3 linked regions of the Oryctolagus cuniculus genome follow. The protein of the gene in region 1 purifies or fractionates together with the protein of each later gene. This does not show direct contact. Links are inferred from orthologs where the notes say so. Each region holds a gene or a part of one and is shown in the gene's direction. Other genes may lie near its edges. The genes, in order: PDE6D, INPP5E and FBXO10.

The links.
Region 2: the proteins of PDE6D (region 1) and INPP5E purify together in Homo sapiens (affinity purification with mass spectrometry; 3 studies listed by BioGRID and IntAct, with this or other methods). This does not show direct contact. The link is inferred for Oryctolagus cuniculus from reciprocal best matches to the Homo sapiens genes PDE6D and INPP5E.
Region 3: the proteins of PDE6D (region 1) and FBXO10 purify together in Homo sapiens (affinity purification with mass spectrometry; 3 studies listed by BioGRID and IntAct, with this or other methods). This does not show direct contact. The link is inferred for Oryctolagus cuniculus from reciprocal best matches to the Homo sapiens genes PDE6D and FBXO10.

The regions. Positions count from the first base shown.
Region 1 is NC_091434.1:7,549,526-7,553,267, forward strand, and holds the start of PDE6D (retinal rod rhodopsin-sensitive cGMP 3',5'-cyclic phosphodiesterase subunit delta), read left to right. Parts: upstream 1-1,409; 5' UTR 1,410-1,619; coding exon 1,620-1,669; exon of another isoform or gene 1,670-1,754; intron 1,755-3,742. UniProt on the Homo sapiens protein: Promotes the release of prenylated target proteins from cellular membranes. Modulates the activity of prenylated or palmitoylated Ras family members by regulating their subcellular location.
Region 2 is NC_091432.1:236,626,590-236,630,331, forward strand, and holds the start of INPP5E (phosphatidylinositol polyphosphate 5-phosphatase type IV), read left to right. Parts: upstream 1-1,513; 5' UTR 1,514-1,696; intron 1,697-1,933; 5' UTR 1,934-2,096; coding exon 2,097-2,722; intron 2,723-3,738; coding exon 3,739-3,742. Other genes in the region: protein transport protein Sec16A, read left to right, coding at 700-768. UniProt on the Homo sapiens protein: Phosphatidylinositol (PtdIns) phosphatase that specifically hydrolyzes the 5-phosphate of phosphatidylinositol-3,4,5-trisphosphate (PtdIns(3,4,5)P3), phosphatidylinositol 4,5-bisphosphate (PtdIns(4,5)P2) and phosphatidylinositol 3,5-bisphosphate (PtdIns(3,5)P2).
Region 3 is NC_091432.1:200,314,103-200,317,271, reverse strand, and holds part of FBXO10 (F-box only protein 10), read left to right. Parts: intron 1-194; coding exon 195-508; intron 509-2,680; coding exon 2,681-2,862; intron 2,863-3,169. UniProt on the Homo sapiens protein: Substrate-recognition component of the SCF (SKP1-CUL1-F-box protein)-type E3 ubiquitin ligase complex. Mediates the ubiquitination and degradation of BCL2, an antiapoptotic protein, thereby playing a role in apoptosis by controlling the stability of BCL2.

The DNA.
Region 1 (3,742 bases):
CGTGGCATACTGCTGTCACCTTGATGCCCTTTGTCACGCTCCATCCTGATTCTCAGTGGAGTCTCCCTAACTCAAATAGACGGTCATCTTTGTGGAGGCGGGGACCATGTCTTCTACCCACTAAGTGCCCGACAAATCACAGAAGCAGAAAGCACGTTTGTTGAATTACCCAGAAGGAAAAGCTGAGTGCAGAGGGTGACAAGCTGGTGAAAAGCTGGGTGCAGAGGGGGACGAGAGGAAGAAAGTCCTAGGAAAACACACAGAGCATCTCCCAGCAAGCCCGGGCTCACCCTGCGATTTTACCCACTTCCTGAAATCACATCAAATGTCACCTTGAGTGACAAAGAAAGAACAAATCAAAAGACCAAGTCCTACCAAAACAAATATCACACACTTCCTCATCTGCCAGAAATCCACCGAATAAATGCTTTACCCAACCTCTGGGTGTTCCAACCTTGGATGGGCAAACTACTCAACAAGGCGGGCAGTAATCGCACTGCCATACTGCTAAAAATATCACCTCCCAGGCTGCGGGCGACAGACTCGGGGCCGAATCCTAACTCTGCCCCAACTTGCAGTGACCTGAGGCCGGTCTCTCGCCTCTCTGGGCCTCAATTCCCTCGCACGTAAAAACAGCAGGGGCAGGATTAGCAAATTCTTTCAAGCACCTTCCCGTATTGACAGAGCACACAATCGATAGCTCTCCTGGTCCGAGGCAGGAACACACCAGAGGTCCCCGCAAAACACGCAAACGGCGCCCCCGTCCAACAAACAAGCACGGTTTGAAGAAGTCGTTTTGTTACATTCTTTCGTGGTTTAATCAGTGTTTTTGTTGTTTGCAACCTTACCATGATTTGCAGGCGATTTCTGAGTTCCATGTAAACAGAAGTTAATTCTCTGTGGGCTGTCATCGTCTTTCACCGGGCCACAGGGTCTTCCCGCCTGGTTTTCAGTCTCGGGATGCAGAAACCACCGACCTTGCCGGCAGGTTTACGAATTTGCGCACACTGCGCGGCACACTGGAGCCTAAGTTACAGAGCCTCGGGACGCGACGAATGCTGGGATTTGTAGTCCCTGGGCCTCTCTGCTGCGTGCTGGGATCTGTGGTCCCCTGGCGCTCTACTGGAATTCTGGGAAATGTAGTCCTCTGCCCCTTCGCACAATGCAACCTGCGGTCGTCTCAGGAGACTAGTGAGCCCAGCAGCAGGAGCAGGCCCCTAGAGCCTCTGCAGATGTCAAGCCAAGCCCCCACTGGGGCTAACTCTAGGCAACAACACCCAGTGAAAATTTTGTCCTATGGGACTTCTCGGGGAGGGCGCTTCCCATGGATGCTCTTCGTCCCCCTGCGAAGCCGCTGAGCGTTGCTATTGGCTGGTGAGAATGCCAATCGCCGAGGCGGGCTTTCCATTGGCTTAGGGGCGGGCGCTCCGAGACCAGAGGGAAGGAGAAGGATCAGGAGCGGGAGCTGAGGGGAGGGAGAGGCCGGTCCGGGTCTGGCCGCTGCCTCTGCTTGCCCGAGGTCTCCAGGCCGGGCTGCGGCTCTGTGCTCGCTTCCTGGGCACGGTCCGCGAGGCTCCGCAGGGCAGCGTGAGAGAGCCGCGGGCGGCGGCCGCCGCAACATGTCAGCCAAGGACGAGCGGGCCAGGGAGATCCTGAGAGGCTTCAAACTGTATCCGCCCGGGAGCGGGGAGGGGCCGGGAGGACTTGGGAGGCGGTCGCTCCCTGAGGAGACCGGCCGGGGACTGGGGCGCCAGGTGGGCCCCCGAGGAGAGGGGCAGCGAGGGGGGACAGGAAGGGGCCGAGGTCCCAGGCCCCGGCGCCACGGGGCGCGGGAGGCGGGCACGGGGGCGTCCTGAGGGCGGAGGGGGACGTTGGCGGGAGCCGCGGGCACGGGGGCGAAGGAGCCCCGGGGCCTGGGCTGCGAGGGGCGCCGGGCGCCGGCGAGGGGTGTCGGGAAGCGGGCTGGGCTCGGAGCTGCGGCCGGGAGGGGCCGCGGCCCGCCGGGGAGGGCTGAGGGGGCGCGGCGGGCTGGCCTCGAAGCCCGGCGGCGTCTTTGGCGGGAAGCCCGCCCGGGGGAGCAGAGAAGTGACTGGGAGTGAACGACCTTGCGTGGGACCAGCGCCGATGCCTGGCATTAAATACTCTCGCCCCCCCCCCTCCACGCCTCACCCCGCCTCACCCCGTCTGGTTGCCACAACTTCTTCTGCTCACTTGTGGCTTCCAGGGCTGGAGTAGCAGAGGGCGGTGGGGGGGCGGGCGCCGCTCGCCTCTCGGCCCCTCGGGTCTTCCCTGCAGCCCGGCGAGGACGCGGAGCTCGCGGGTGGTGGGATGCCTCCAGGTGCCTTGGCCGGGGTGCCTTAGGGGTGCCTGCCGCCGGGTCGTGGCGGAGCTGTCCAGCAAGGGTTGGCTTGCGCTGGGGACCCGGTCAGGTGTGAAGTCCCTGCCTCGGGCCTGGGTGGAGCCGGTAGTTAGAGAGCTTTGTGTTTTCGTGGAGGGTTAGTCTGGCCAATGTGATCTTGCATATTCCAATTTTACATTCTCCTACTGACCTTAATCTCTTCTTAGCACCCTATCCGTTCAGTGAGGAACATTCTTAAATATCGCTTTGGGTGAAAATACCGGCATCGCTTTGGGGCCCCTCCCCTGGGTGCTTAGCAAAGCACTGTTCTCTGACCCCCACCTGTCGGGTTGTCACAGTGCCCATTTCACCCCTACACATTTGAATTATTTTGTCATAGCCAGAAACCAAGTTGGTAGTAGAACACAGTGCGAGAAGAGGGTCAGGAGGTTTGGGATGTACAGATGAAAATCTCCAGTGGAATCCTGTTAGGCTTGTTTAAAAACCCAAGGCTGTGTTAGCCTTGCAGACTTCATCCGTGCTCAGCTTTCAGTACTTTCATGTGGTGGAGTTTAGGAACAACCTCTCAAAGCTCCATGTTCCCTTCTGGGTTTCTCTTCATAATGGAGCCTCGACAGGGATAGGCATAGCTCAAGTGTTCGGAGAGCTATGACATGGATTTTATTTTTTCTCTTGCATACTTTATACTTAACATATGTGTTGCAGACAGTAAACCAGAGAATTTGAGATTTTGGATTGCAATTAATGTATTTCTGAAAACCCGGAAGGTGGCTTTTGAGCAAGGCAGAAAAGGAATGCTTGAGCTTCTCACCATTCGTTCAGTCTTGGCTCTTGAACTTGTTGAGAAAGAAGCGGAGGACAAATATGAAAGAGTAGAGAGCAGGAGGTGTCAGCCCACTGGCAGGAATGGGGAATTAACCAGTTCAGCCGTGATGTTGCTGCGTCGACAAACAGGCTTTCAGGGAAAGTTTGAGTGGAGCTAAGTAAGCCCTGAGACAGGAGAGCAGCCGCATAAAGTTGGGAAGCAGTGAAGTGAGAGTGCTGGTCCTCCGTGTCCTTTACTGGCATCTGAGGATTAAGAGAGAAAAGGAAAGCAAGAACCATAGGATTTGCTGCCTTGGAATTCTAGCTTTACATTCCTGACCCCATATCCCTGCACAACTTCTGTAACCTCTACCTCAGTTTTCTCATGTAAAAATAAGAATAATAATACCTGGTTGTGAGATGAAATGAATTGATCTCCAAAGTATTCAGAAAAGCACCTGGTGTAAGCATCGTGTGCTAGCTATTGTTGCGAGAGAAATTCCAGATCATTTCTCTTGCATTTTAGTATTGATCCTTTGCCTATGAAGTATGTTGCAAGTATTTTTTTCTCAATGTATT
Region 2 (3,742 bases), on another chromosome or scaffold:
GTTCACTCGCCCGGGCCTACAGCGGCCGAGGCTGGACCAGGCCAAAGCCAGGAGCCAGGAACTCCCATCTGGGGCTCCCACGCCGGTGCAGGGGCTGTCCTCCGCTGCCTTCCCTGGCCACAGCAGGAAGATGGGAAGTGGAGCAGCCGGGACTCGAACCGGCACCCGTGTGGGATGCCGGCCCGGCAGGCGGGGGCTCTCCCGCTGCGCCCAGCGCCGCCCCGATGGGCTGTCTGCAGTGCGCCCTGGCTCAGCCTGGCCTTCTGCGCTGTGTCGGGGGTCCCCGGCCCCGGGTTCCCGCTTGTCCGTCACCCCGGGGCTCAGGGTCTCTCCTGAGGGAGCCTGCGGGGGGCCTCACGGGTGCCCGCTGTTGCCAACACGGCACAGCCCTGCCTGCGGCCCCATGGGCCCCGTCCTCATGTGGCGGCCTCGCCCAGGCTGGGACTCCGTCCATGTGGCCTCTCGGGGACGTGTGCGGCGCCCAGGCCCCTCCCTGCCCTCGGCTCCTGTGGGGGGATGGCTGTGTCCCTGCTGACCACGGGGAGACCCCCCCCAGGCCACTCAGGCCCCTGAAGTGACCGCCGTGCTCCCCGGTTTGCCGTCCCAGGCCTCCGCTCCCCCACGGGGAGCCCCAGCTCGGCGCGGTTGCGGCCCCAGCCGAGGTGGACGCCAGAGGTCCTGCCGTTGGTTTCGTTCCAGGCCTCTGCTGTCTCAGGGAGCTCCAGGCCAGGGAGGATCGGCCAGAGGAAGTACCCGCCTTTGAACTAGCCGCGTCCACGCGGGTTCCAGATGACCGGCGCCGAGAGCCCGGCTGAGCACCTGTGGCTCTGTCCCGAGAGGGCACGCCGGGCACCCCACGCCACCGTGCCTGCGGCTCGCCGCGGAAGTGACTGGAGCCCGGGGGGCTGGGCTGGGGCCGGCAGTGCCGTGGGCGGAGCTCTGGGACCAGGGCAGTGCTGCCCTGGCCGTGGGAGCCTGGCCGGGTGACCGACCCAAGGACGTCTGGAGTCTGCCCCGCCTCGCTCTCTGTAGCCTCTTTAGGGTCGTGGGGGCAGGAGCGGGGAGCCATGCCCGAGGGGGGCCAGGAGCTGGGGCCTCCTCGCGCGCTCCAGGGCCCTGGCCGGCGCGGTCTGCGGGGGTCTCCGGGCTGCCTTGAGCCCCCGCCCCGCCCCGCCCCGCCCCGCCCCGCCCCGCCCCAGCTTTAAGGCTTTCTCGACTGTTGGTTGCGGCCGTCCTTGGCACCACCGAGGCCCCGTAGAGCGGGTGTGCGGGGGCCCTGGGCGGATGCCCCCAGCCCACCTGTCCCAGGAGAGCGGACGCCCGTGTGCCTGGCCGGCGGCTGCGTGGCGCCCGCTGCTGGGGCGAGACCCCGGCTGCGGCCCCTCTAGCCGAGCCCGGACCTCTGCCCACGACTGCCCACGTTGAAGAAGCTTCCTGCTCACCACGGGAGCTGCTATTTTTCCTAAATGAAAATGGTTTCACTGCAGATTGTTAAATAAAATATTTTGTGCTCTCTGCCTTCACCTGGTCTGCTGGCCGCGGGCTTGGGGGTGTCCCACGGCCGGGAGCCCCCTCTGCGGGGACGTGGGCGGCAGCGGTCCTCCGGCCGCCAGGGGCGCTGTGGGCGCGCGGCCGGGCCGGGTGGACGCGGAGGCGGCGGGAGCGGCGCCGGCGCGAGCGCGAGGCCGGCCTGGAGGTGCGTGGGGCGCGATCTCGAGCCGGGGTGACCCTTGGGGCGAGGCGGGGCGGCCCCTGGCCGGACCGTTGCTCGGGGCGGGCCCGCCGGAAGCACTCCGAGCCGTCGCCCCTGCGGCCGGCGCTGGGCCTCCCGGGGCGCCGGGCGGCGGTTGCGGGGCGAGGGGCGCAGTGATGCGGGGCAGGCCGCCGCCCGGGACGAGGCGGCGGCTCGCCTAACAGCTCGGTCTTCCTGCAGGGGCTTGCGGGCAGCCAGCCATGCGGCGACCGCCGCCCCAGGAGGACCGCGCCAGGCCGCAGGGGCCGCCGCGGCGGGCTCCCTGCTCTGCGCCCGGCCGCGGGGCCCCGACGTTGCGCGTCCCCGCTGGCGCAGGTGGCCGCGGCCGGCGCTGAGCTGGGCCATGCCGTCGAAGGCCGAGGCGCCGCGACCCGCGGAGGGCAGGATGCCGCGGGGGCCGCCCCCGGCCGCGGACAAAGACCTCGCCGCGGGCCCGCAGGGGAGTCCCGGGCCGCCCGCCGCCGGTGCCGAGCCGCACGCCCAGGAGCAGCCCGTGGCTCCGCCGCCCGCGCGGCCCCGGCTGCAGCGCGCCCTGTCTCTGGACGACAAGGGCTGGCGGAGGCGGCGTTTTCGCAGCAGCCATGAGGACCTGGCCGCCCAGAACGGGGCCAGTCCGTCCCGCGGCCCCGCCTGGCCGCCGGCCCCCGGGGGCTCCCCACCCTGCCTCAGTGCCTCCTGGGGACACTGCCTCTCAGGAGTGGTGGGCGGCTCGGGGGGCAGCTCCCCCCGGCTCCCTGGCCTGCTGCCCCCACGCCCGCGGTCCACTGCGGACCTGGACGTGGCCTCCGACCGCCTGAGGTCGGCGCCCACAGTTGCCACGGACCTCGCCCAGCCCCCGCTCGCCCGGGCCCACAGCAGCCTGGGCCCCGGGCGGCCCCGGAGCCCCCTGGCCTGCGATGACCGGTCCCTGCTGTCCGCCAGGTCCTTCAGCCTCCTGGCGCCCATCCGCACCCAGGACGTCCGGAGCAGGTAGGAGGCCTGGCGGCGCCAGGAGCAGCCTGGGGAGGGCCCTGAGTGAGCCCGGTGGTCCCCCGGGGATTGTGCCGCCTTCCGGAAGTCGTGGGTGGTGGGCTGGAGGCGCCCTGCCTCCCTGGGGGGTGTGGTGGTCGCCGTGGGCTTGGGGGAGCGGCGGAGGTGGGGGCAGGAGGGGGCGGGGACGGCCCGAGGGAGTGGCCTTCGGAGTCCCCTTGGGCGAGAGGGTGTGGGCGGTGACACAGGGAGCAGGGTGAGCTCGCGTGGCCGTGGCGGTGTCCTAACGGTTGGGAAAATCCCAAAATTCGGACACTGCTTCCGGGTTCCGGGAGCTGCACCTGGGTGTCGGCACGCGGCCACGCCCCTTCTATCCCCGTCACCTGTGTCGGCTGCAGCCAGGGGCCCACGGAGCCAAACACGCGTGTGGTGCGGACGTCCTGGGCGGGAGTGGGGCCAGGCCAGGCTTGGCTGCTTGTTCACGTGCTTGAGAGGCAAAGGAGGCTGGGGGGGGGGGTCTTCCGTCCGCGGACCACTCCCCAGCTGGCTGGATGGCTGACCGGCTGGGGCTGGGCCAGGCTGGGCCCCAGGAGCCGGCAGCTCCGCCCGGCCTCCCGTGGGGGCAGGGCCCCAGCACTGGGCCGTCTTCTGCTGCCTCCCGGGCCACAGCAGGGAGCTGGATGGGACGTGGAGCAGCCGGGACTCGCAGGCGCCCACGTGGGTGCCGGTGTCCCAGGGGGCGGCCTAACCAGTGCTGGGGGGGAGGGGGGGCGTGAGCAGGGGTGGGTGCTGTTCTGGAACCCGGGTGCCTCCTGTCCACTGCCGACCCCCGCAGTGGGCCATGCACGCCCAGCTCGAGCCCCTGGTGGGGGCAGTGGGACGGCGCCCGCGGCCGTGGCCTGTTCTAGACGGAGGGTGTGTGACCCCTCGGGGAGGCGGAGCCCGGGGAGGTGTGCCCGCAGCCGCGCCCTGGTGACGCGAGGGACGCGGCCCTGTTCCGTCTGCCGTCCCTGCAGGAGC
Region 3 (3,169 bases), on another chromosome or scaffold:
TCCTGGTGGGTGGAGCTGGCGGCCGTGTCTGCGTGGAATAGGCGGCTCTCGTCTCCACGAGGGGGGAAGCTTGGCAGAGGCCCAGGCAGAGCCGACTCAGGCTCGCCCACCGGGGCGTGTGATTCAGGGCAGACTTGCCCACCCGTGTTGTCAGGGCTGACTCTGGGACCACCTTGTGCTCTCCCTGCCCGTAGCCTCAGGACTCTACGTCCAGAGCAGCGAGGCCCTGCACGTCACCGCCAACGTAATCCATGCCAATGGCGACCGGGGCATCACCGTGGCCCAGAGCAGCCAGCTCACCCGCGTGGCCAACAACAGCATCTCTTGCAACCGCCAGAGTGGGGTCAAGGTCGAGGCCCAGTGCAAGGTGGAGCTCCGGGGAAATGGCATCTATGACAACAGAGGCCACGGCGTCATCACCAAAGGCGACAGCACAGTCGTCATTGAAAACGACATCATCGGCAACCGGGGCAGCGGGCTGCAGCTGCTGCCCAGGTCCGACACCAAGGTGAGGGCGCGTGCACGGCTGCGGCATGTGCCCGACACCAAGGTAGGGTGTGTGCATGGCTGTGTGACACCAAGGTGAGGGCGCGTGCACGGCTGCGTGACGTGTGCCCGACACCAAGGTGAGGGCATGTGCACGGCTGTGTGACATGTGCCCGACACCAAGGTGAGGGCGTGTGCATGGCTGTGTGACGTGTGCCCGACACCAGGGTGAGGGTGTGTGCATGGCTGTGTGACACCAAGGTGAGGGCGCGTGCACGGCTGTGTGACGTGTGCCCGACACCAAGGTGAGGGCATGTGCACGGCTGTGTGACGAGTGCCCAACACCAAGGTGAGGGCATGTGCACGGCTGTGTGACGAGTGCCCAACACCAAGGTGAGGGTGTGTGCATGGCTGTGTGACATGTGCCCGACACCAAGGTAGGGTGTGTGCACAGCTGCGGCGTGTGCCCGACACCAAGGTGAGGGTGCGTGCACGGCTGTGTGACATGTGCCCGACACCAAGGTAGGGTGTGTGCACAGCTGCGGCGTGTGCCCGACACCAAGGTGAGGGTGCGTGCACGGCTGTGTGACATGTGCCCGACACCAAGGTAGGGTGTGTGCACAGCTGCGGCGTGTGCCCGACACCAAGGTGAGGGCGCGTGCACGGCTGCGGCGTGTGCCCCTCTGCCCAGCGCAGAAGCACGAGCTCCCAGCTCTGCAGGGGATGCCGTCCCTCCTGCCAAGACGTGCCCCTGGATATGCCAGTGGGGCCGCACATAGGAAGGGACGCGCAAGCTGGGCCCTGAAGGCTGAGTGAGAGTTCACCCACAGGAGGCCGGGGGTGCTAGAAGCCTCCTGAGGCGTCTTCCTGGTCCCGGGTCAGGGTCAGAACTATTTCAGCTCCCTTCCCCAGGAGAATGATCTGTGCACGATCCGGCATGCAGCGGGTGCTTCATAGACATCCTGCCTCAGGGCCTTTGCACATGCTCTTCCACGTGCGCTGGAAACCCCCTGCCCCAATTTTCCGAGTCCTCCAGCTGTCTGAGGCGCCTCTTAGGACGTCGGGGTAGCTGCCCCTCGCAGAGCCCCTCTTCCCGCAGTGCCGTACACCCATTCCTTCGCCTGTCTGCCTGCGCCTCACACCGTGAGCGCCGAGCTCCGTGTGCAGACCTCTGCGCTGGGGCCATTGCACGGCTTCCCCGACGGACCCGGTCCCTGCCCTGGTGGAATCGGGCCCCAGAGGCTCTGGTCAGCTCTGCAGCTGCACAAGCAGTGACAGGCGAGGAGCAGAGAACTCCTCGACTTGGCTTCCGAGTGCTGTGGAAACAGGGAGCGAGGGCCACACCGCGGCCTCAGTTGGGTCTCAGCAGCCCTGGCTTCCGGCACCAGCTTCCTCTCTACCAGCCCTTGCACGTGGCTTCTTCCTGGAATAACTCGCCCTTGCTCTGCACCTGGTAACTCTGACAGCTAACACATCACCTCCTCCAGGAAGCTTTCCCTGGTTCCTCCAGGCTGGTCTTCTTGCTCTTCCTTGAGTTCCTTTGGCTCTCGGCTGACCTACCTAGCTTATTATTTTTTAAGATTTATTTATTTATTTGAAAGTCAGAGCCGGTGCTGTGGCACAGAGGGTTAAGCAGCCTCCTGCAGTGCCGGCATCCCATACGGACACCAGTGTCCTGATGGCTCCACTTCCAGTCCAGCTCCCTGCTAATGCACCCGGGAAAGCAGCAGAAGACAACAGATGTCCTTGGGCCCCATACTCCCGTGGGAGACCCGGAAATAACTCTTTCTCTTTTGTCTTTGTCTTTTTTTTTTTTTAAAACATTTATTTATTTGAAAGCATTAGAGAGAAAGGAGAGAGACAAAGAGATCTTCCACCTGCTGTTTCACTCCCTAGCCACAATGGCTAGGGCTGTGCTAGGCTGAAGCCAAGAGCTTCTTCCAATCTCCCATGTGGGTGCAGGAGCCCAAGTACTTGGGCCATCTTCTACTGCTTTCCCAGGCTACAGCAGGGAGCTGGATAGGAAGCAGCGCCTATATGGGATGTCGGCATTGCAGGTGGCAGCTTTGTCTGCTACGCCACAGCCCTGGCCCCCACCTAGAATGTTTTACCACCTCGGTTTTATAGTTTACCATGTAAGTGACTCACTTGCCTGAGTCCCTGAGGTCTGACAAGCTGTGGCTGCCTCTCCCAGGTAATAAAGAACCGGATCCACTCATTCCGGGCCTACGGCATCGCAGTGCGGGGCCGCGCCAAGGCCCTGGTGCAGGATAACATCATCTTCCAGGGCAAGACCAGCAAGACCATCTTCCAGCAGATCGCAAACAACCGGGACTGTGTCATGCAGAACAACAAGTTCCTGGTCTTCAGGAAGAAGTAAGTGCCCAGCGCTGCCCGAACCATGAGGTCGCTGGGGAGCCAGACGCAGGCCTAGTGACCCGGCTGCCCTTGCCCCGGCGGCCTGGCCAGAGAACTTGTACCTGACTCCCTGGGAGGGAACAGACCTGAGCATCAGGGTATTTGGTTTCATGTCTCATCTCTGCCAGGTACTGGCTGTGTGACTTTGGGCAAGTTACTGAGACACCTCTGAGCCTTAGTGAAATCTAGTTGTTACTATCTCCCCTTTTGGCACCAACTTGGGATAAGGTCAGATCTGACTATCTGTAGTTTCACAAAAATGCTA